Linked DNA regions of Cricetulus griseus. Each later gene encodes a partner of the first gene's protein in a complex. Links are inferred from orthologs where the notes say so. Each region holds a gene or a part of one and is shown in the gene's direction. Other genes may lie near its edges.

Region 1 (6,656 bases):
TTGGTTATAGTATTTCATCACAGCATTAGAAAAGTAACTAAGACAACCACCAAAAGTTCAAGACCAGCTTGAGTTCAACAGAGAGACACAAAACAAAATAAAACAACAACTCCTACCCCAAACCACAAAGAAACAAAAGATCACCTGGAAGCATGATAGCTTTTCTTGAAGAATAAGAATTCTGCTCAAATTTATGTGTCATTTTCTTGCTCTGTCTAGAGCTCAGATTGTCATTTAGGACATTCTGGTGGCACTGCCATTTGGAGGGCCTGCTTTGGACCTAACCCAACTGCCCACAACTACAGTGCCAGGAGATCTGACACCGTATTATGGCCTCCAGGCTCGCACACAAGTGCACTAACATACATGTAGGCTAAAACATTCATACACACAAAATAAAAATAAATGCATCTTAAAAAAAAAAAAAACAGCTATCCATCTAGACAGAATTGATTCCTGGCTTCCCTAAAGACACACATCCAGTAGTTCTCTACATCCAGTAGCGTTACATTTTCTTGTCTGATTGTCCCCAAATTCTCACAGCAGCGTCCCCTTTCCAGTTTCCTCTTAATTGTCTCTGGTTTGGACCCTGGGCCTCTGGTAAATTTAAATGTTATCTACCAGCATGGCAAGTACCTAGTAAATTAAAGTTCCCACTTGGTTAATAACAGAGTAAATAACTCAACAGATGGTCTCTCTGAGAAGGAGGAGAGAGGAATGAGCGGGAGAGGGAAAGAATATATACATTCAAGGTATGCAGCTCTACGTATATGTATGTTGCACACTGACAGATAAGTTTCCACTTTTCTGGTGGGACTAGGACTCTTAAACAGCCCTTAAGGAAAATCTATTCTGTGTGCTCTTGTAGATTTCTGTAAGCTAGTGGATACAGTAGCTTTTAAAAATATCTTTGAAGCTATTTGTTACATTTCATTAGAAAGTTGCTTTAATGAATTCAGTATCTTATTAACTTCAGAATGCCTTTTATTTAAGGTGGTGAGGCATTTTGTGTTTGATTTATACTAGTTAAAGCCCCAAATGTCCAAGTGACGTGAGTCCCCCGCGGTGGAAGTTTTCACTCTAGTCATTCCAGTGGAGACACATTTTGTTCATGTTTGAAACCCTGTGGGATCAGGAGTGGACGCGGAGTGGGATGATGACAAACAGTCCTTGGTAGGTGGGGGGTGGAAAAGTAGAGTTGCTTCTAGGTATTTAAGGAGAAGGCTGGGAGCGAACCCTCCTTCACCGAACAAACATTTGGGTTTTTTGTTTTTGTTGTTGTTGTTGTTTTTGCCTACCACACGCCATAGCCTATTCGTGTCTCCGCCGGATGGGTGCTGCTCCCTGATAATTCTCCATTCTGATCATCTCAGGAACTCGAGCTGCCCTCACTTCCGACCTCCTTCCTCTGAAGCCGGCTGGAGGCGGGAGCGGGGACCGCGGCGAGGCGATGCCGGTCGAGCGGAGCACACATCTGCCGCGTTCTCCCGGGAGCGTCTGTCAAGGCGTGGGAGGAAAACGCGCTCCGAGTCGCCGCCAGCCCCGTCTCGAGACCAAAGTCTCCCGAAACACAGCGTCCCCACCCTAACGCCGCTGCGGGTCCCGGGGGGTGGGGAGCTGAGGCAACTTCGGGGGAAGTCGAGGAAGGCGGCCTGGGGTCCCGGGAGCCGAGGCCCGGCAGGGCGCACAGGGCGCGGGCCGCAGTTCTCCCGGCGGCCTCGCGGGGGCGCCGGCGCGGCCGATCAGGTGACCGAGCGCCGGTCCCGGCTACGGGAAGCCGCCTCGTTCTCAGCCGCCGCCGCCGCCGCCGCCACCACCACACCTAGCGGAGGAGCCGGGAAAGGCGGCCCGGGTGGGGGGGGACTGGGGTGGAGAGCTCCGCGGGTGGAGGCGGAAGGGCGGCGGGCGGAAGCGAGCGCCGCGGCTGCTGTGTCACGGCGCGGGTGGGCGCGCGGCATGGGCGCGCCGCGCTGAGGCGGAGGTCGCGGGCGGGCGGCCGGGAGGGCCTGAGGGAGGCGGCGAGCCGCGGAGTTGCGCGCCCGGCGGCGGTGGCGGCGGCGGCCGCACCATGTCGCGCTCCGTGCTGCAGCCCAGTCAGCAGAAGCTGGCGGAGAAGCTCACCATCCTCAACGACCGGGGCGTCGGCATGCTCACGCGCCTCTACAACATCAAGAAGGTGCGCACGGGCCGGCGAGGCCGGGCGGGGTGCGGCGGGGGAAGGCCGCGGGCGCGAGCTCGGCCTAATCGCGCGGGGCCTCCGGGATGCGCCGCGGCCTAGAGTGAGCCGCGGGGCGGGCAGGCAGGAGCCATTTCCCGGCTCCCGGCGGCAGGAGCCGGCCGGGCCGCGCATGGCCGCCGCGGCGCGTTGGTTTGCGGGAAGGGAGACGCGCGGCCTTCCCGGGCTGCGGCGAACGGGCCCGGGTTTCTTGGCTTGCGAGTGTGGGAATGTGGCGACCGACCCTCAGGGCTCCGCTCTCCACTTGGTCACTTGATATTTCGGTCGCTGAATAAAGCTCCCCCACCCCACCCCCCAGCATGTTGACGTTTAGGATAATTTCATTTTGGAGATGGACAGGAGGGGGAAGTGAGGGTGGAACCGGTTTTCGTCTGAAATACTTGTAGGCTGTGAGTCACTAGAACAGGAATAACAACCTTTCCTCTCTACTCCTCCTCATTTTAGTTTTCCCAACCCTATCTGGGGAGCACCAAGGCACCATTCCTTAAAGTACAATGGCTGCATAAAATAAAAACGAAATCTGCTCCCATTGCTATTCCCTTCAAAACATATGCGAGGATTTGAGTAACTAGTCAGTAGACCTATTGGAAATCCGTGTGCCTTCAGATTAGGGAGTGGAGAGCTGTATTGAAGTTAAGAAAAGTAGAGATAAAAATAGGGGGGAAATGCCATTAATTTACCTTAGAGGAAAACAACCTCAAATCCGTTTAAGACTTCTTTGATGAGCCTCAGGGAATTTAGTAGAGAAAAAGTTTGTCTTTGGTACATTTTATACATCTACATTCTTGTGGGTTTGTATGTGTATGTCAGATTTTTCATAATCTCGTTTTAAAAGAGTATAACGTTAAATATTGCCCTTTGACCATAGCAATGGAGTATATAGGTTGTGAGTATTGCTGAAGATTCTTTTAAAACTTGAAGTCAAAGCATTCGAGTATAAACTTGTTTTACTTCTCCAATTTGATTTAGACACTAATTCTGAAGCACACTGCTTTAAGTTAGTAATACTAAATCCTGGGAAAGGATAGCTGTGTTGTTCTGCTTACTCACTTGGTTTCAATGAATGGTTGTCTCTAAACCCAGCACACTCTGGAGCTAGGATGTACCCATTCAGTCTGTGACATGATAAAGTCCTCTACATTCACCCCTTGATTGCAACTTTATGGGGTTTGGAAATTTTCAATTTTAGGTAGTATAAGTTGCATTGATGATGAACGACTTTTGGATTTCACTGCTTAAGAAATCTTGGAAATCTAAGTTTTATATGGACTTTGTTTTCTTAAAAAAAAACCCAGCAAGTCAAATGTTACTAAAAGTTACTAGACCTGCGGTATTGTGGTTAAAGAGGAAATGGTTATGATGGTTTCTAGAAGAGGAAGTGAGAGTAACATCAGAAGTGATTTGGGTGTTTGAGCAAAATACTTTCTTTGATGCAGTCAAGTCTCTAAACATTTTTATAGAATAAATATAAACAGACTTAAATATTTTATTCTCATGGGTAATAGTAAATGGAATTCTAAACATTTAAACTTATAATTAGTCTGTGGCCTTTTTTCAAAGTGTTTTTCACTTCCTGTTTTGAGAAACCTCGGGCTCTTGTTGTGTTGACCCCTGAAATGGAAAATAAGTGAACGCAGTCATTATATCTAATTGTTAAGCATTTTGAGTTATTGAAATGTTGTATACTTCAGCACTTACATATAGTTAGTTACTTGAAATATTTTGCGTACTTGGCTTATGAATTTCTTCTGAGAAGAGTAATTCATTTTGAAGACTAATACTTAGGGCATTGCCTAGCACATAGGCTTTGATTAGTGCTTGGTGAAAATAGACTCTGTGTTAAATGCATCTGCTGTTTGTTTTGTGGCAGGAAGAGAGAGAGTGGGGAAGCAATCAGGTGCTTGGAGGTTAGTGGATAACTTGTGAGAGTCTGTTCTCTTCTTCTACCTTGAGGGTTTCTAGAATCAGACATGGAATCAGGCTTTACGCTCCGAACCATCTTGCTGGCCCTTTTGATAGAATTTGAATCTTTAGCCTGTGGAATTGCCTGTCTGTATCAGCTGCCTGTCTATACTCAGCTGGCTAAGGATTGAAACATTTGTTCAAACATCTAGCCAAAGAAGTAAGATCTGTTCATCATTGTTTATAAGGTCCATGTTGTGTGTATTCTATGGCAATATAAATCACATAATCTTTTTATTTTTATTTTCTTTAGGTTTTAAGTTTTATATGTATGAGTGGTTTTGCCTGCATGTAGTTCTGTACCATTTGTGTACCTGATGCCCACAGAGGTCAGAAGAAGGTGTTAGAGCCTCTGGAACTTGAATTAAAATAGTTGTCAGCTCCTACTCATATTTCAAAACCTGGCACAAATGTTCCTATCCATCTTTCTATCTTTCCCACCCTAAAATCTTTAAAGTCTCAAGTCTCCTACAATCCTACTTACACACTGCATTAGACTAGCTAGCTACACATCTCTCTAATCAAGATATGAATATCTTGGTGGTGGACTTAATATACCTGTTTCTCTAATGTTAGAGAAGACATTCAATAGATAGTGATTAAATACAGTTGGGGGGGTGTAGCATGAATTCTAATTGGTATTAATAATAAAAACCCAGAGTCAGATATTGGGGTTAAAGCTAAAGATCAGAGAAGCAAAATGGCCAGCCACTAGAGTTCTCACCTCTACAAATGCTCAAACCAAAAGGACAATCCTGTTCTCAGACTGCACTGAGTTCCTGTCTCCTCCCACCATATATTCCTCTCTAGTGTTGGGATTAAAGACATGAGATCCCAAGTGCTGAGATTACCTTGTATGAGCTCTGTTTTTCTTTTAGATTGGATCAATTTCGTTTAGCTCAGGATGGCCTTGAACTAATAACGGAGATCCTCCTCTGTCTCCTGAGTGCTGGGATTAAAGGTATGAGCCACCACTGCCTGGCCTCTATGGCTAAGTAGTGTGGTTGGCTTTGCACTCTGATCTTCTGGCAAGCTTTATCTGTCAGATCATATACAAAATATCACTGTAGAACGAATAAAAAGAACCCAGAGACAGATGTTGCGATTCAAGCTGAAGACCAGAGAAGGAAAGAGGCCAGCCATTAGAGAGTTCTCACCTCTACCAATGCTTAGTAGGAAGGGGAGATCAAGTACTCTGATTGCATCTCCAAATGCTCCTCAGACTGCCTAGACTGAAGAGTGACTATAGTCTGAGACCCTGAGCTCCTGTTTTATATTCCTCTCTAGTGCTGGATTAAAGGCTTGCACCACCACCACCCAGTATCTATGGCTAACTAGTGTATCTGATGGGATTAAAGGTGTGTACCACCACTGCCTGAGCTCTATGGCTGTGGCTAGTTTTGCATTCTGATCTTCAGGCAATCTTTATTTGGTTGATCATACACAAAATATCACAACGGGGAAGCCCTCTCAACATTGTGATTACCTAAAAGATTAGTTTTATAAGGAAGTATTTTCAAGATTCTTTCAAGAGGTTATTTGAAACTGTCAGATACACAAATCTGTTTACACATTAACAATTTAAGATTTTATGAAGTTTGATGTTATTAATAAAATACTGCAGTACTATGCTCAAACAGGGAATAGTTTCATTTGACCAAAGCCTACAGTATTGTTAAATTCTTAATAACAGTATCAATTCCTATGATCTTAAGAACTTAATATATTCACTAGCAAACTCTATTGAAAACTTGAGCAAGAAATCTTAGGCGTGTGATTACTATTAATTAAGCTATTCATTAAACAAACTTAGTTTGAGTACTATTAATGAAACAACTTAGGCTAATCACACTTTCTAATTGTATTTCTTGTATTGCAGTCTACATAGTTTTTCAGTGTACAAAATTATTATTTGACTTTGTGATTTCATACCCAAGACAGTGCTACAAACCAAATCCCAAAGGCAGTCTTGCTAGAAGTGTTCTGACACCAAGCTAAATTCCCAGCATCACTTTTTGTCTTTGAAAATAAAAAATCTAAAATGAAAATTACAGAAGAAAAATTTTATTTCACTGTTTTTCTTCATACTAATTCCCTGTTTTATATATACTTCCCCCAGTTTAAGCAAAATGTCCTATTTATTTCTGTTAGTTTTACTTATGTGGTTAGTTCTTTCATCTTGTACACATTATAATACATCAGAGACTGAATGAATCTTAACAATAACCAACCATAAAGGGAGCTGAGGAGACAGCTCTGCTGGGGAAGGGCTTGATACACAAGCATATGAGTAAGGTCCCCAGTACTGACCTAAAATTCCAGATTTGTAATCCCAGCTCGATCAAGATAGAAACAGGTGGATTCTTAGAGCTTGCTGAGTAATCAGCCAGCCTCATCTAGTCCCAAATCAGCCAACCTCAGACCCCAGTGAGAGACCCCCCCCACTTCTCCAAAAAGG
Region 2 (6,175 bases), on another chromosome or scaffold:
AGTACCTGTCTTAGAAACCTATAACAGCTGTGACGCTCCCCCTCCACTCAACAATCTAAGTCCTTACAGGTAACAGCTCTCCCTTGGGGGGGGGTGTATGGGGGTGTGTGATTAAAAACACTACATTGTCTATAGTATCTAAACTATATTGAGTTTACTGTCTACCCCAGAGGTACCTATGGCAACAAAGACAGTTCATTCTTGTTTGGAATCTGAAAGAGACCATCTGCATCTACTATATATTGAGTTTGCTGTAACATAGCATCCTGCAGAGTTTACTTTGGTGAAAGCAAGTCCATCTGGATTCCATCCAAGGAATTTAGTTAATACAGAAGCAAAAGGACTTGTTAGCAGGCAGTCCTGCAGCATGGATTCCCAAGGGCTGCATTCTAGCAGGGCTTCCACTTACTGGGAAAACTCTAGATTCCCAGATGTTTGGGCAAGTTAGTGGGACCAGTGTTAGATGGCTGCTCTAGACTCAGAGGGGGCCTTCCAGAGCATGGGGAGTAATTGGCATCCTTCCATGTGAGTGTCAGTCACTTCATTTTGAGCACCCTTTGGATATTTTCTTCTGCAAGGACCTTTCTCGCTGTAGTTAGACATGGAAAAGGAAGATAACCTTACAGACGACTTAGAGTCCTCCCCTCTGGTGGTTTGGTAATGTTGTCATCATGCACAGACAAACTGAACAGAAGTAGAAAGTGATTATTTATTTTGCTTGTATCTATAAATAACTTTGGAACAGGTAAAAAGTCATTACAAGAAGCTGGAGGTGGATGCTGTCTATCAGATGGGTACACTACCAAGCAGTGCCTCTGTGTGTGTGCCCTGTAAATGCAAAGACACTGGCCTATTAGCCTCAGATAGGAACTTGGAATCTTTTCACACAGATAGAGAAGAGGCTCAGAGTATCTGCCCTTTGTTACTAGTGTTTGAAGTCATGCTTGCCCCTGTGGCTGTCATGCGTTAGTCTGATTGAGTTTGGATAGAGCTGTATGACAGAAAGGGCAGGCATACCTCATAATACTGAAAGGGATAAGATACAGCATTTATGGGCTGGAGAGATGGCTCAGAGGTTAAGAGCACCGACTGCTCTTCCAGAGGTCCTGAGTTCAATTCCCAGCAACCACATGGTGGCTCACAACCATCCGTTATGAGATCTGGTGCCCTCTTCTGGTGTGCAGATATACATGGAAGCAGAATGTTGTATACATAATAAATAAATAAAATCTTAAAAAAAAAAAAAAAAAGATACAGCATTTATATGGTGGGACAGGATAAGCAAATAATATTGAGATATTTCACCTTTCTAGAAATGTTATTTTATATTTTAGACACAAAATACCAGAACTAGTATCTCCTCTCAGTTATCTAGACTTGGCCTAAGTGGTATCTCTAACTCAGAGCAAGATTTAGTTAATATAGAAATTATTAGTGTCAGAGCCTGGAGAGATATTTCAGCAATTAAGAAACACTTGCTGCTCTTGCAGAAGACCCAAGTTCAGTTTCCAGCACTCACAACTGCCTGTAACTTTAGCTTCAGGGATCTGACACACCCTTCTGGCTTTTGTGGGCACCTACACACATGTGCATGCATACACAGAGACACATATATACACAAATGAAAATAAATGTAAGACTTTCTTTTCTTTCTTTCTTTTTTTTTTTTTTTTTTTTTTTTTGGTTTTTCGAGACAGGGTTTCTCTGTGTAGCTTTGGAGTCTGTCCTGGCACTGGCTCTGGAGACCAGGCTGGCCTTGAACTCACAGAGATCTGCCTGCCTCTGCCTCCCGAGTGCTGGGATTAAAGGCCTGCGCCAGCAACGCCCGGCTAATCTAAGGCATTTTTAAAAGAAAATATTAGTGTTTGATTTAGAAGTATATTCTGTGTGTTTTGAAAGACAAGTAGAATTTCTTTTCAGAATTAGGATTTGTTTGCATTTATTTATTTATTTTTGAGAGGTAGCTTCTCTCCATATAGTTCTGGCTGTCCTGGAACTTGTTATGTACACCAGGCTGGCCTCAGACTCGGCCTTTTACTTTTTTTTTTTTTTTTTTTAAACATGTATGGTTCCCTTTGTGACAGGTCCTCTGTACATAGTCTAGACTGGACTTGAACTGATGCTTCTCTCCCTGCCTCCCGAGTGCCAGGGTTATAGACATGCATCACCAGTCCTGGCTTGCAGTTTTGTTGTTGGTATTTTTTGTTTGTTTGTTTGTTTTGTTTTTTTGAAGACTCTGTGTAGCCCTGGCTGTCCTGAACTCACTCTGTAGTCCAGGCTGGCTTCAAATTCAGAGATCCACCTGCCTCTACCTCCCTATAGACCTTGTGGTTTTAAAAGAGTTGGTCATTGTGTTCAATGGGTCCCCTTGGATTGGTATTGGACACTGAGCTGTTCCAAAAGGGAGCAAGAAGTAGCGGTGTGCTTGGTTCCTTATCTGAGTATAGAAGAGCAGCTGTACACAGAAACACACGAGTACACAGGTTTCAGATAGGAGGGAAAGACCTCAGTGCTTCCTGCTGAGTCCTGGGGAACAGGCAGGAAGGGGAACCAGTGGTGGAAATCTCCTTAGAGGTGCACAGTATCCAGATCTCTTTAGGGAGCTGTCTGTGACCCTGCAGATGATTAGAAACAATCAGAATTCCTGCTGATCTAGCCTGTTCTTGCCCTGACCATGCAAATTCCTGTAGGGGAATTGAAGGTATGGCAGAGGTTTGTTTGGGGCCATTATGGGAGAGGAAATATGCGATCGATTTGAATGACTTCCTGAATCCTTAGTGTAAAAACTGCTAACTGGTTGGTGTTTGGAATATTGGATTTGGTTGGGAGCTCATCTGTCTACTGACAGCTACTTGTCTTCATTTCTATCCCAGGGATGATGGAAAAGAGGCACTCAAATTCTACACCAACCCTTCATACTTCTTTGATCTTTGGAAGGAGAAGATGCTGCAGGACACGAAGGATATCATGAAAGAGAAGAGAAAGCACAGGGTGAGGGGAAGGGGCCTCTGTTCTACACATCAGTAGGCACGATTGTGGAGTGGGGATAAAAAGGAAGCCAGTCTTATGTGAAGTAATTCCAAGTGGCTGCTTGCTTGGATGCCAGGTAAAATTCTTTAAAAAAAAAAAAAAAAAAAAAAGAATGTGTCCATACCAAATACCACCAAGATGAGAAAGTAAAAATCACACCAAAAATGTGCTTGTTCCCCTGGCACTATTAACAATTGAGTATATTTGAGCTGAGTTTTAGAAATTGACTTTTCTATTCACCATTTATTTTTCTTGCAATTTGCACCTGACTCTGCTGGACACTCTGCTAGCCTGGTCCCATCCCTGCCGGTTTTGCAGCTCATTTCTCAGAGACAAGCACCAGGTTCTGCAATATTTGGTTTACAACAGAAGGTTAACCCCTTCACTACTGGGTGGGTGGGGCCAGGGGCTGCCTGGTTTGTAGAGATGCCTCTCTCTTTAGGCTCCTGGTGCTGTGTGACCTGCCAGCTTTGACCTCACAATCCCATTAGCATGGCTGTCAGCAGGCCCAAGAGAGTGCCACAGGCTAGTGCAGCTGCATGAGCTGGAAAATCCTTCATTGGTTTTTGTTTTATTTTGTTTTTTAACTGTTTCCTTTATCTGCCCCAGATCTCTAGAGCTGCCAGTCCTCATCCCCTGACTGACCTTTGTGGCACAGCAAATAACAAATAAGTGTTTACTAACTTCCTAACAATTAAAATGCTTAAAGATGTGAAACAGTTACCCAGAAAGGTAGCTGAGGCTCCTTCTTGCTAGAGGTGCTTGTGTGTGAGACTGAGCAAATGCTTTGCCCGGGAGGTGGTTTGAATTGAATGGCCTCTAGGTCACCGCAAACCTGGTAGTTCTGTAAATTCTGCTGTTATCATGTGTTGTCTAGGCAAATCATCTCATGAGTGTGTGTCCATGAAGAATTTTAATGAAGCACTTGGGAAAATGTTTTACAAAGGCTTTTCTGTTCCCTTTCATTATAGAAAGAAAAGAAAGATAATCCGAATAGAGGGAATGTAAACCCACGTAAAATCAAGACGCGTAAGGAAGAGTGGGAGAAAATGAAGATGGGGCAAGAATTCGTAGAGTCCAAAGAAAAGCTGGGGCCTTCTGGGTAGGTGACGTTTTATAGCATTCTTTGAAGGGGTTGGAACCTCAGGACAATAGGCTCTGGAGTGATACCTTCCACACCCTCTGAAATCTAGCTGTAGGGTTTATTTAGGTCAATACAACTGTTAGTCCACTACAGTTTAAGTGCATCCATCTGGTGATTAAAAATTTTAAATAAGTCAAGAGACTCAGTAGCAGTTTCAGTGAGATGACTGGAGTGGTCTGGAAGGGAAGGCGCATGGCTTCCAGTGCTGTTCCTCTGCCAGAATTCAGTATACCTAAGGTCTCAGAGGAAAGACGGAAAGAGCAAGGAAAATGGTCTTGGGAGGCCTTTGCCTCCCAAGTGCACAAGAAGGTTGTACTGAAGGGCTGAGCCAGGGAGGAGGGGAGGGTGGGCAGCACGCAAGCCTTGTACTTTACCAGAACAAATTTTCAGCCAGTCTTTGTCAGTCTTGGGAGAGAGGTTAGTTAGCCAAAGGGACTGAATGCAGACCTCAGAGTAAGTGTGGGAAAGGCTGCTGGACCACTGTGGAGGCTGTATATCTCTGTGGGAGTGGGGGATGTCATCTTGACCCATTTCCCAGGACCAAATCACACTGGAGGTTAAAGGGGGAGAATGGATTTAAAGCTTGGTTTGATGCTTATCCTGATGTCTGACCCCTGTGACATTCAAAGCCAAGTCACCATGACTGCTTGGCATGAGTGTCACCCTGGCTTTTCCTCTAAAGTCATTGCATTCTGGCTGTCAAAGAACCATGCCAGCCCATACTGGGTGTTGACGAGTGATAAAAGGAAAGAGTTGAGTTGTTCTTACTTTTAGGAATAACTCTACCATGAAAATCTTGACTTTTAAAAATCTTGACACTTGTGACACTTGTTCTTCCTGGATTCAGAGGCTTGTTTTATAAGCATGATGAAGACAGAGAGAGGAGAAAATGACCCTTCTACAGAGAAACCGGTACTAAGGGTGCCTTCACTGATCTCACTACCCAGTAAGGGGCCATTTTGTTCCACAGACCCATCCCATTCTGATAGGCACACGGCATAGGATTAGTGACTCTGAGGCCATAATGCCAGCTGTCAAAAATGTATGTCTCTCAACCTGGTCAGCAGAGCTAGTTCCAAGACAGCCAAGGATATACAAAGAAATGCATGTCTTATTTTGAACTTGGGTAGTGAAGATGAGGAGTGGTACCCTGCCCCTCATTTTCCTATTTTCCAGGAGGTTTAGAATTGGCTGTGTAGCTGGTCTATAGGAGCATGCTTCTGGGTGAAGCTGTCAAAGAGATGTGCCAGGTTTTGGGGGTTTCTCACAGGAGCGCATCATCTGACTTGATTACTTGCCTACAACTCTGTGCCTGGGACCTGCTTGATGAGCTCTGGAGAACCCCGCAGTGGTATAAAGAGGAAGAGAAGGCAGAGCAGGCCAGCTTTGCTAGCTGGTGCCCAGTGTACTTATGCTAATATGTAGACTTACTGCTTGGTGTGTTGATGCTTGTATGAAGTTTTGATGTTCATCCAGAGTCAATTCTCCCAGGGCCCAGTTCTCAGAGGAATGGGTTTTCATGCAACTAGCTCTAGCACCCTGCTTTAAGCAGCTGCTGTGATAGAGGACATGGCAGAGAAGCCACACTTACTACCACATGGAAGCCTACATTCATCTTTGGCTTGATTTTGCAATCAAATGCATCCTTAGCCTTTGAACACTCCAGGGATTTGCCTACCTCAAAATCAGGCTGTATGCTAGTCACATGTTTGCAACTAACCTGTGGGAATTGGCTTCATTCTTTGCTGTAAGGTTTTGGTATTCAGGTTTAGTTGCACCTAATATTTGGGAGAGCATTTAAAAGAACTGCTGGGTTTGATTTTAAACAGACAGGCAGGCACACACTCGAGTGCACACACAAACACACATACACACACAGTCTCACTGTGTGACCCTGACTAGCATGGAACTTGGTATGTATACCACATAGTCATGGAGATCACCTGTCTTTGAAGGCACCTGCTACCATACCTAGCCTAAAGTATAATTTTGGTGTAATGT
Region 3 (6,175 bases), on another chromosome or scaffold:
TCCTCAGTTACCTGGAAAGGGTAACCTGGGATACATACCTCTAAAATAAATAGATGTATTATATATATATATATATGTATTATATACTATATACATAAAAGAAGGTCCTAAGAAGAATCAATAACTCAAGATTTCCAAGATCCCAACCAGGGCTCTTCCCACCATGCCATCTTGACCTTTGTATCGTGGGCTCATTATGCAATAACCCTAGCTGCACTGTCCAGAGGGCAGAGTGCACATCTTGGTACTTAGTCTTGCTTCTGGCACATTGTGCCTGCAGCGCCCCCCACCTCCCCCCCCCACAGAGAGAGAGAGAGAGAGAGAGAGAGAGAGAGAGAGAGAGAGAGAGAGAGAGAGAGAGAGCCTGGTACTTGAAGACACTTACTGCAGCCTCTATAAACCCAATGAAATTATGCCTGCTGTGGCATTTGGGGGCTGAGAACAGCCACGTGTTCTCTACATTATTGTCAGTTCCCCTTTTAGACACATGTTCCCAAGCAGAAGAGAAAGCAGGAGGCCCACGGTTGGGCTTGGTTGTTTCTGAACTTGGGGACATGTTGCTGACTTAAGTTCTAAATTAAGAACTGAAACCGTTGCTATTGAATAGAATCACAATAAGTGACAAACTCCAAATTAAATTGGATTCTACCCTAATAATCTAAAGTGGATAAGGTAAATAGATTTAAAATTTTAAATTCATTTTTCCTTAGATAAAAACACTTACAAGGAAAGGAAGCATAACACTAATTATTTTCTCCTAATTTTTTTGAGGTATGCTTTCCATAACTGGAGATGATTTAAATATATGCATGAGTAATTTAATCATCTTCACAATATTCTACCACTGTCACCACCATCTAATTCCATTACCCTATACATGTGCCCTAGACTGTTAGCAATCTCACATGGGTCCTCTCTTCCTGTGTTCCCATCAACCACTGTCTGTCCTTAAGGCTGTACCTCTTGTGGATATTTCATCTAAAGGAATCAGAATACGTGACCTTTTGTCTGGCTTTCACTGAACTTCATATTAGGTCGGTCTTAAATGGCAGGTGCATGTGAGTTACCTGGGGACTTCACTGGAATATAGGGGGTTTGTTTTGGTTTGTTTTGGTTTTTCAAGACAGGGTTTCTCTGTATAATAGTCCTGGATGTGCTGGAACTTGCTTTGTAGACCAGGCTGGTCTCGAACTCACTGAGATCTACCTACCTCTGCCTCCCAAGTGCTGCAATTAAAGGTGTGCTGGAATGTAGTTCTTAATCATAGAATCAGACACCCTGAGAGGACAAGACTCCTGGTGATGCTGCTGTTACCAGCCACAGACCATACCCTATGCACTGTAGATAGAGACTTGAGAAACCTGTGACACTAGTGTCATTTCTCCCTGATGAAAGGGCTTTGCCGTTTCAGAATGAAATGCTAGAGGAGGGACACGAGTATGCGGTCATGCTGTACACCTGGCGCAGCTGCTCCCGGGCCATCCCGCAGGTGAGACCATCCTTGCTATTCCTCTTTTGCCCTTCAGGAGGTGTCACTGCCCCCCAAGCCCAATCAAACCCAAACCAGAGGGTTGAGTTTTCTGGGTAGCAGGAGGTAAATCTGGGTCTCTGACCCAAAGAGCTTCCCGTAATACTACTGAGAAGGTCCACGTCCCCGGGGTCTTAAAAACAGTTCCCAGCACATGCTATGCACAGTATCTCATTTCACAAGCAGCATCTGCTGCCTCCCACCCAGGCCATTGCAGAGGGTCTAAGGTAGCAAACATGCTGTCCACTCCCTCCTTCACCCAAACCCATGTTCGGCCACAGGACCATCATGGTGCACATTGCTTCAGATTGTTTGGGATCTTCTTATCACAGGAACATATTTCATAAAGCCGATTGTTACCACTCGTTTTTTTACACTGTCATGGGCTTGTTGAAAATACAGATATTTTTATCATTATTGATATTTTCCTTTAATTAGTAGATTCCATTGTAACAAAACCAACAAACCCCACATGCATAAAGTAAACAGAAGGTACCATTCTCTCTTTTAACCCTCATATTTAGGGACAATTATTATTGACAAATTTTGTACATTTCCTAATTTTCTAAGCCTGTTTTTTTTAAACAACTGTTTTTTTTAAAACAATTTTCTTTTTTTAACTTTATTTTTATTTTATGTGCCTGCTTGTCAAACTTTTTATTACATTTATGTGTTCTCTCTGGGGAGGGTATGATGTACAATGGGGTGTGCCTGTAACAGTCAGAGGACAACATGCAGGAATTGGGTCTGTCCCATTCAGACTTGAAAGCAAGTGTGTTTTTCTGCTGAGCCATCTGGCCAGCCTCAGAATTTTGTTTTCTGGAAAAAGGGACCAAACTTGAGTTGTGCCTCAGTGGCAAAGCATTGCAAAACATATCCAAGGTTTTGGGGTTCAAGGCCCAGATTCTCTCCCCAGCAGTGCAAAAACAAGCAAAAATAAAACAGGCATCAAATCACTTTACTGTGACCTTTTTGCTTGTCCCCTGTGGTAGCCACCTTCTTATGGTAATTCCAGAGATCCACCTTAGTCCTTCTAATGTTTATAATGGTAATGGTAGAATGCGATTGCATCACTTGTCCATGTAATGACGTACTGGAAGTTATATAGCCATTGATAACCATAAAAGATAGTTCTTGTCCAATGCATGTGGTACTCACCTGTAATCCCAACACGTAACAGTCAGGGAGACCTTGAGTTTTCAGGTCAGTGTGGGCTACATAGTGAGACACTATCTAAAGAAAAAAATGTGTTTGCTCACACCCAGCCATCCTGTTGTTAGGCTTGGTGTGTGTGTGTTCAAAGAACATCTGCCATGTGGTACTAAGGTTATATGCTGACTAAAAGCACTGGGCAGGGGAAGCGGGTCTCAGGATGGCACAGCTTCGGGTAGCCATCATTCACCTGGATGTGGTTTTGGAGCTTTGCTCCAGGCATACAGCATAACAAGGACAGAGCAGACCGGCTCACCACTTGTACATGAGGATGGGGAGAGGATGTTGCAGATCTCCATAGATACATGGATAGCCAACTGTAAAGGCACAGACCAGCAGGAAAGGGAGGAGGACCCAGTGTTGGGACCAGCTGGCTCTTACTGCAGCCAGTGTCCAGGGATCATTTCTAGGGTTGCCAGTCTTCTACAGTCCCCTCTCACTAGGGTGACCATATTCATTATCACCCATGACGAGGTGCCACGTGTGAACTACGGACCAGTCTCATGAGACAGTAGCTGCGAGCCTGGATGGTGAACTTTCCTCTCACATTCTCAGGTGAAGTGCAATGAACAGCCCAACAGGGTAGAGATCTACGAGAAGACAGTGGAAGTGCTGGAGCCGGAGGTCACCAAGCTCATGAAGTTCATGTACTTTCAGGTGAGTGGGCTGTGGAGGGCCCACAGCAGAAGGCTCACAAGGACGCCTACCCTTCCACTTACTGGACTTTGGTGCCATGTCATTTTTTTCATCCAGCTAATATTTTTAAGAACCACCTACACTCCCATGGGTGAGCCAGGCCAACAGGTGTCCCCACCTCCACAGAGGATGTGTAGCTCCAGAAATACACAGTAGTTTTAGGACACATTGAGGGCCATGAGTAAAATAAGATTTACAACAGTTGTAGATTGCAAAGTAGCTATGGATAGTTGGTGCTTCAGGGACAGTGCATGGAACTATGTCCTGGTCACAGGAGAGGCAGGAGTATGATGGCATGGTGAACAGGGCTCCAGGAAGATGGTCCAGCAAAGCCCCAAGGCCCGAAGGAATCAGTGTGTTCAAGAAATAGAGGACAGTAATGGAGCGGGCTGTAGAACAGTAAAAACAAGTGGTCTAAAGGGAGGCTGGAGCGGGGTTCTGTGAGCTTGAGGTTTGGATTTGGTGATGTGAGCTGACCTGAGGTTTCAGGCTATCTGGCCACTAGGTAGAAAAGGGTTAGGAGGTGTAAGGTTGGAAGAGACTATGAGAGAGAAGGATGGTGGCCGCAGCCAGAGACCAGTCAGGAACTCTGGAAGAGCCACTGTTTAGAGGACGAAAGGCAGGGAGAGAGCCAAGGGCCTTCTCAGGTGACAGGGAAGGCTAGGTGGTAGCAAGAAAGGACAGGAAGTGTAAGCAGTCAGTTACTTGCTGGGGTCTCATTGGCAGCCAAGAGGGTGGCAAGGTGAGTATTTCACAGCCAGTCTTTACCCCACAGTGGGTGCTATAGCTTGCACAAGCCATACCCTATGTATAACCTGCCTGTGGGACTGAGCTTCAGTCATAGACTCTTGACTCTGGCCAGAATCCACCCTGTACTCAACATCTAGGCAAGAACTGGGACAGCACTGGGAAGGTGTCTCAGCCTGGGTAAGGAGTAATGCCAGGTCAAACCCTGGCTGTGCTGTTATCTGACCGAGTGTGACTCACTTCTCACACACACACACACACACACACACACACACACACACACACACGCACGCACGCACGCACGCACGCACGCACGCACGCACTCACGCACACACACACACACACACACACACTCTCACACACAAACTCATGCACATTCACACACACACATACACACACACACACACACACACACACATACTCATGCACAGTCACACACACAGACATACACATACACACACCCCCGAGACATGACAGGATCGTAGGAAGGATAAACAAGGTCCATCTGTAGGTGCCCAGCAGGGCCCTGTGTCAGCTTACAGTGCTTCACAGCTGTTGTTAGTATCCTAGGTGGCCTGACTTCCCCAGAGCCTAAAGTCTTATTGGGAAGAGGGTCAAGAGAGGAGAGCCATCAGAAACTGGGTGTGAAGTTCCATTCACACCCCGACAAGAGGTGTGAATGGAAGGAAGGATCTGGAATGATTCACAGCCGTGTACCAAGCACTGTGCCCATCGTCTACGTGTATAAACAGTAGTAAGTTCAACGGGACACTCCTCAGCAACACAAAGCTCACTTCAAGCACTCAGTAGCCACTGTGGCCATCCATATTAGTTTCTCTTCTCACTTCTGGGGCCAGATGCCTAAGAAAGCATTCCAGGGATCTCGAGGAAATCAGAGTTACTTGGCTCACAGTTTAAAGGTACAAGTCAGGATGGCAGTAAAAGCGTGGTGGCAGGAGCATGAGGCACTGGTCAGGCTGTGCCTGGGTCAGGAAGGAAGGAGAGGTGAAAGCCGGTGCTCAGCTCACGTTCTCCTTTTCACTCAGTCCGGGATCCAAGTCCATGGGGTCATGCCTCACCACTTACACATTCAGGGTAAGTCTTCCTTGGTCAGTTAGACCTTTCTGGAAACACACATCCTTCATGGACACAGCCAGGGGTTCCATGGTGAGTCTAAATCCCATCAAGTTGAAAGTGAAGATCAACAGTCACACCATTATGGTGAGCATTGCTGTGCTGAACAGTTCACCATGGCAGAAAGCCTACCTGGTCTTAGACTCTGGAGGTCTGGTCTGGTCTTTGGGGGGGCGGGCAGCAGGTGAGCACTGTAGGCCCTGGAAGGGGAGCAGAGCTCATATCTGCGCATACATCCTCTCCTCCTCACAAACACCTTCCTGTGTTCTTTCCCCTCCTCTTCCTCCTCGTCCTTCTCTACTTCCTCTTCCTCCCTTCCTCCCCCTCCTCCTTCCTTCTCCCATGCTCGCTGCCCCTCCATTACTACAGTAGCTTCTTGCTTTTGAACTCCTTTCTTTCCCCCCAGTGACAGACTTTTGAGATATAATATATAATATTATATATATATATAATATTATATCTCATTTAATATTCAACCAAGCAAAATGAACAGCCCAGCATACTGTAGTGTCTTCACAGAGTTATGTGTTCATCATATAACCTGTTCTAGAATATATTTAACCCTTGAAAGAAATCTGTTGAGCCTTAACTCCCTACTATCCCCAACACCCTCTCTTTCAGCTCCAGGCAACTACTAAACCACTTCTTATCTCTATGGATTTCCTGTTTAGACATTTTCCTAAAAATGAAGTTATACAGGACATGACTTTTCATGGCTGGCCCCTTGCCGTTGGTGGGGTGTTTTTGAGTGTCGTCTGTACTGTAGCAGGCATCAGAATCCAATTGGTATTTTTATTTTTTTATGATGGAATACCATGTCACTGTACACATGCAGTGTATTTTATTCACCTATCCACC
Region 4 (6,175 bases), on another chromosome or scaffold:
CCATAAGATTTTATTTAATGTTGCTTTTGAGGTCATCTTAAAAATGGTAGATACTTGTGAGAACAACAGATTTTATTGATAGAAATTGAAATCTCAAAACTTCATAGACAAACTATAGAAACATGATTTTTTTTCTGAATGGCATAGTGTAAGGATTGACACATACATTGTTTCAGGTGTGTTAGCTGGTCATCTCTCACAGAAGTAGCCTTTAGGATCAAAGTAGCTTTTCTTTAATTTAGAATTTTGACTGAACCCTCCAATAACAACAGCAGCATATAGCTTTCTAGTAGTGTGGGCTTGCTCAAGACTTAACGTAGTCTAGAAAAGTTTCCAGACTATTTATTCTTCAGTTAGATTTTGGCTAAGCTACCAGTAGATGATTTCATTTTTGAATTTTTGTTTCTAAGTATTGTTTTTATTCTTTGTCAGTTTTATACATATGCATATATTATCTTATTCATAATACACCACCCATGTTTTTGTTTTGGGGGTAGGGTTTTTTGTATCCCAAACTGGCCTCAAACTTGCTGTGTAGCTGCACCAACCTCCCAAATTCTGGGTTTTCAGAAGTATACCACTGTACCTGGGCTATGTGATGCTGAGAGGGAAACCCAGTATTCCTGGTGCTGCACAAAACTCTGCCATCTGAGCTACATTCCCAGGTTTTAGTCAGGAATTCATGATTTCATTTTTAAATACTGAGGTGTGCTAGGCCACATCCTTTTCTGAATTGAAAACAACTTGAGAGTTTTTATTTTTATTTTATTTTGAGACAGAGTCTTACTATGTAGCTCTATTTAAGATTGATTTTTTTTTTTTCTTTTTTCTTTTGAGACAGGGTTTCTCTGTGGCTTTGGAGGCTGTCCTGGAACTAGCTCTTGTAGACCAGGCTGGTCTCAAACTCACAGAGATCCACCTGCTTCTGCCTCCCGAGTGCTGGGATTAAAGGTGTGCGCCACCAACGCCTGGTTAAGGTTGATATTTTTATAGCATTATACTACCACTCAAATAATGACTTGGGCATTCATTGTCCAATAAAGTGTTAGATCTTGTATACTGATAATTAAAAATAGATTTATGCCTTTTGTATCATTGTAGTTTACTTAAAGTCAAATTAAAAACATTTTTATTTTTAGTTATGTATATATGTGTATATAGGGGTGTGTGTGTACATGAGTGGAGGCCAGAAGAGGGTATTTGATCCTTTGTTACTGGAATTACAAGTGGTCATGCAGTGCCTCATGTAGGTGCTGGATACTGTCACTTACAGTTACATTACATAGTTTTAACTGCTGAGATGCCATTCCACTCTCTGTCGTCTGTAATTCAGTTGGATTAGATGCAGGGGTTAAATGCTGACCTCAGAAATTTTGAGGCCTGTTTGAGATTGTCTTAATTATTAATTAGTTGGTAGTTTCCTTAGAAAGTTACTTCTTTTTAAAAGTACATGTAAGATAGATCTGGTGACAAAAGCCTGCAATCCCAGCTACCTTGAGGCAAGAGACTCATAAACTCAAGTTTTGTCTGGGCCACAAAGTCCGTTCATGGCCAGTCTGGGAAACTTAGTGACTGGATGTAACACATTGGTAAAGTGTTTTACTAACATGTGCAGCCCTGAGTTCAATTTCCTGTGCTGCTGGAAAATAAGTGTAACACACAAACATTTCCCTAGTTCTTATAGATACTTTTGCAGTGTATTTGAAATATGGCTGGATAAAGCTTGTTAACATGAATTCAGTAATATAAATGTCAACCTGTCCTGTCAGATGCAATTTACCTAGAATTAATTTCTACTTTTTCCCCTCTTTTTTGTTTTTGCCAACATAAAGTGGCTAAAAGCCAAGGTAAGAGACTTACTTATCATTTGATCCACAGTACTTCCTCTATGTTGACAGAGGCTGCAGAGCCACTAAAATGTGAAAACTCTTATGTCTGTCTGCTTTTTTCCTGTAGGATTTACATAGATTAAATATGCTCAAATTTAGTCAAATCTCAGCGTTTAGCTTGGCTGTGTTAATATATCCAAGATATATTGATGTTTGCACTTTAGGAACATTAATCTTGCTAACAGTTACTGCTTTGCTCATGTTTTTACAGTTGCTTTGCTTCCATTGTTTGAGAGTTAGGTTTCCCAGACGTCATATGTGATTTTGTTGCTGAATTATTAGTAAAAAGATTATATTTGAGATGAGTATGTTAGCAGATTTACAGCTTTTATGGTTTACATTTATGCACATATAAATGTTTATTCAAGCATTTTAATAATTCTGATTCTTGAATACAGATAAGATTGATATCAGTAAATATGTCTAACAAAATATAAAATTTAGTAGTCTTACCTGTATTTTGCATAAATTGATATGAATAGCCCAAAATGATAGAAGAACTGAATGCAGGTGGCTTTTGAACTTTTAAAATATAATACCAAACTGTATTAGTGCTGTCTGGGAATCCTTACTTCACATTCTGATATTAAGGAAAAGACATCATGTTAAAACACCAAGAGTACAAGTTGATACAAAAATAAAATCTTTCTTTCCACATTTTAGCACGGAAATAACCAGCCTGCAAGAACTGGCACATTGTCGAGAACAAATCCTCCCACGCAGAAACCACCAAGCCCTCCTGTGTCAGGCCGAGGGACTTTGGGGTATGAATTCAAGTGCATTCTACAAAGAATTCCTGAGACTTAAGTGCTTGCATCCTTGTTTTGTGTTTTCTCTTGTGGTACTACCCTTTACATTCATTTATTCTGTGTGTGTGTGTGTGTGTGTGTGTGTGTGTGTGTGTGTGTGTGTGTGTGTGTGTGTGTGTGTGTGTGCTGTGTGTGTGTGTGTGTGTGTCTGTGTGTGTGTGTGTGTGTGTACTGTGTGTGTCTGTGTGTGTCTGTGTGTGTGTGTCTGTGTGTGTGTGTGTGTGTCTGTGTGTGTCTGTGTGTGTCTGTGTGTGTGTCTCTGTGTGTGTGTAGCCCAGAGGACAATCTCATGCTTTACCCTCAGGAAAGCTGTCCACCTCCTTAAAGACAGGCTCTCTTACTAGCCTAGAGCTCACCAATGAGGCTAGATTGGGTGGATAGTAAGCTAGATTGCCTGTCTCTACCTTCTTAGCTTTGGGATTGTGGGTGCTGCCATGCCAGATATTAATAATCTTTTTCATATGTGTAAATGAGTATCAGTTTTTGTTTCTGCATTTAAAAAATGTAAATCTTCTTTGCATGTTATTTTAAATGGATTATCCAGAGAGTTTCTTATAGTGCCTTCACACATATTTATGGCACTCCCCCCCCCCCAATGGTTTCTCTGTGTAGTCCTAGCTGCCCCAAACTAGCTCTTGTAGACCAGGGCGGCCTTAAACTCACAGAGATCCACCTGCCTCCGTCTCCCGAGTGCTGGGATTAAAGGCATGCATCACTTATGACATTTTTGAATAAGTGGTGTGCTTTGTGTAATTTGCCTTAGTAGTCTCTGTCTTCTGCTTCTTCTGTTCCACCTTACACTGAGGACTCTACTGAAGTGGCTCCAAGTGTAGCAGCTACTCACAGACCCCTTTACACCAGAGTAGCTTTTTGGAAAGCTGTAAAAAATAGTGGTAATTTCTGGTCCCCTGTTGGTGGTAGTAATTGTATCAGTATTTTCCAAGATGTTAATGAAAGATTAGTTATTTGGAAATACCATATTAGATTTCTTGCTTTTGTGGAGGGGTCAGTTAATAGCCAACTTTCTTTTTTGTGGTGGTGGTTTTACTTTTTTTTTCCCCCTGAAGAAAGGCTTATGAGTGACTAAGCTGGGTATAATGTATTTTAATAATATATGTTATTAAGCATTAAAGAGTAAAGCCATTATTTTTAGTGATGTTAGAAATTTAAGTGATCATTTCCAATAATTTTCCCAAGAAAGAACAACACATTTTATTTTATGTTAAAACAGCAAAATTTTTATGTCACAATTAAAGTTTTTGTTTAAATTACTATTAATTTTTTTTCTGTCATTAGAGAGTGTAGCTCATGCTATCTACTTTAGAGATTAGAGGACAACTTTGTAGGGTGTGTGTGTGTGTGTGTGTGTGTGTGTGTGTGTGTGTGTGTGTCTATGTGTGTGTTCCCATGTGCAGGCACCCCCCATGTGTAAATTGATGTGTTCTAGGATTGAAAAAAGATCTCTAGGCTTGGGTGACAAGCACCTTTACTGTCTGAGCCATCTTGCCAGTCTTAACTATTTTTAAATTAAAACTGGGGAAAAAATTCTGTTATAGATAATTCAGATAGAGATTGTTACAGATTTGGGAAGGCAGTTATTTTGTCTTTCTCATTCATTATCCATTTTTCCATTCTTCTTCTCTAGACGGAATACCCCTTACAAAACGCTAGAGCCTGTTAAGCCTCCAACAGTTCCTAATGACTACATGACTAGTCCTGCAAGGCTTGGAAGTCAGCATAGTCCAGGCAGGACGGCTTCTTTAAATCAGAGACCAAGGACACATAGGTAAGCCTTCTGTGTGAACATCTGAACTCAGAGTATATGGTGCTGACTGGTGAGTGATGAGTTTTAAAGACACAGCATACAAAATGATGTACTACTTTAATGCTAATAATGAATGTAAAGGTTATGGCATTCTTCATATTTCTGATCACATAAAACTTCAGTTTTTCTTTGTCAATTGTTTTTGTTTGTGTATATTATTAGTAGGATATATTTCCTCTTTTTGACAGATACAAGTACATATTGGGATTAAAACTAAAGAGTGTTTTTAGAAGCTAAAGGTGTAGCTAAGATAGCATAGTGTTTGTCTAACATACAGGAAGTTCTGGGTTTGATCCCTAGTACCATAAAAGCCAGGCATGGTGAGGTACATTGTAATCCTACCTCTGGGGAGATGGAGGCAAGAGGTTATCCTCAGCTACATAGTGAATTTGAAGCCAGCTGTGATACATGAGACCTTGTCTAAAAAAACAAAAACAAAAAGATAAAGCTTAATTTTTTTCTCTCTTAAATATGCATATAAGATAGGCTTTTGACTTTTTGCAACAAAGTGTGTTTTAGTAGTAACCTTGCGCCTCATCATCCCCATCCTCCTGACCCAAGAATGGTTTTCCACATGTCTTTAAATGTCATAAAGGTAGGGTTAGGATTTGTATAGCTCAGTGGTATTATCCTTGGTATGTGTAAGGCCTCTGGGTTCATTTACTAGGAACTCCCATTAAAGGGGAGAGGGCAGGGAAATACTCTTAAATGCTTTTAGACAAAAGGTTAAATGTCATAGAAGTTCCGTGGCTCAGTTGGACCCTGAGAGATCAGAGGAAGAACACTTAACTTGTTTCTGGACAGCGCTGGTAAACTAGGGTGTGTTAAAAATCCTCTAGAGAACAGCTGCCCAATGGGCTTTATGAAGGATCTACCTTGGCTGCTGAATTAATTACAGGGTCAGAGTATGTTTTTTCCAAAGTGGAATCTTATTCAACCACTAGTTATTTAGAATGACTTTATTAAATACCAGTCGGTAACATATAAAACATAGTATTGTTGATTTTTCCAGATGCTCATTGTGTTGAAATACAAACATCTTTTTTTAAAAAGAAATTTAGAAATGTATCCTAGAAATGTCATTATGTCAGGATTTATGGGTTACTTAAGCACTGTTGCAAATATATTGACATGGCAGACAATATGTAAATGAATCAGCATGGCCATGGCCTAGTAAAATTTTACTTATGGTACTAAAATTTGAATTTCATATAATTTTAATGTTTTCAAAAATATCATTCCTCTTTTGAGTTTTCCCTCACTATTTAGGGGGGAAAAAGTTAGCTCATAGGCAAAATTTGGGCTTTTGTCCAGTTTTAGCTCACAGGGTATACTTTGCTACTACTTACCCTGTGTTACATAAGAAACACTGAAGTCAGGAATTGCAGAAGAGCTTAAATGTACATATATTCCTAGGTCTGACACAAAGCTGAATATTGAGTTCCTGGCTTGAACGAGTTGAGAATCTCATTTAAGCTAGTTTGTTCTGTCAGTGGATTTTTTTTTTTTTTTTTTTTTTTGGTTTTTCGAGACAGGGTTTCTTTGTGTAGTTTTAGAGCCTGTCCTGGCACTCGCTCTGGAGACCAGGCTGGCCTGGAACTCACAGAGATCCGCCTGCCTCTGCCTCCCGGCTATCAGTGGATTTTTAAATG

The links. Proteins that work in one complex are often made in the same cells at the same time.
Region 2: Nckap1 (region 1) and Wasf2 share a complex: the UniProt entries of both Homo sapiens proteins name them as parts of the WAVE2 complex. The link is inferred for Cricetulus griseus from reciprocal best matches to the Homo sapiens genes NCKAP1 and WASF2.
Region 3: Nckap1 (region 1) and Cyfip2 share a complex: the UniProt entries of both Homo sapiens proteins name them as parts of the WAVE1 complex. The link is inferred for Cricetulus griseus from reciprocal best matches to the Homo sapiens genes NCKAP1 and CYFIP2.
Region 4: Nckap1 (region 1) and Abi1 share a complex: the UniProt entries of both Homo sapiens proteins name them as parts of the WAVE2 complex. The link is inferred for Cricetulus griseus from reciprocal best matches to the Homo sapiens genes NCKAP1 and ABI1.

Annotation. Positions count from the first base shown.
Region 1 is NC_048599.1:94,544,254-94,550,909, forward strand, and holds the start of Nckap1 (nck-associated protein 1), read left to right. Parts: upstream 1-2,068; coding exon 2,069-2,176; intron 2,177-6,656. UniProt on the Homo sapiens protein: Part of the WAVE complex that regulates lamellipodia formation. The WAVE complex regulates actin filament reorganization via its interaction with the Arp2/3 complex. Actin remodeling activity is regulated by RAC1.
Region 2 is NC_048595.1:20,085,722-20,091,896, reverse strand, and holds part of Wasf2 (wiskott-Aldrich syndrome protein family member 2), read left to right. Parts: coding exon 1-69; intron 70-2,873; coding exon 2,874-2,991; intron 2,992-4,001; coding exon 4,002-4,132; intron 4,133-6,175. UniProt on the Homo sapiens protein: Downstream effector molecule involved in the transmission of signals from tyrosine kinase receptors and small GTPases to the actin cytoskeleton. Promotes formation of actin filaments. Part of the WAVE complex that regulates lamellipodia formation.
Region 3 is NC_048600.1:60,838,489-60,844,663, reverse strand, and holds part of Cyfip2 (cytoplasmic FMR1-interacting protein 2), read left to right. Parts: intron 1-1,411; coding exon 1,412-1,489; intron 1,490-3,295; coding exon 3,296-3,397; intron 3,398-6,175. UniProt on the Homo sapiens protein: Involved in T-cell adhesion and p53/TP53-dependent induction of apoptosis. Does not bind RNA. As component of the WAVE1 complex, required for BDNF-NTRK2 endocytic trafficking and signaling from early endosomes.
Region 4 is NC_048596.1:211,220,866-211,227,040, forward strand, and holds part of Abi1 (abl interactor 1), read left to right. Parts: intron 1-1,832; coding exon 1,833-1,847; intron 1,848-2,552; coding exon 2,553-2,653; intron 2,654-4,343; coding exon 4,344-4,484; intron 4,485-6,175. UniProt on the Homo sapiens protein: May act in negative regulation of cell growth and transformation by interacting with nonreceptor tyrosine kinases ABL1 and/or ABL2. May play a role in regulation of EGF-induced Erk pathway activation. Involved in cytoskeletal reorganization and EGFR signaling.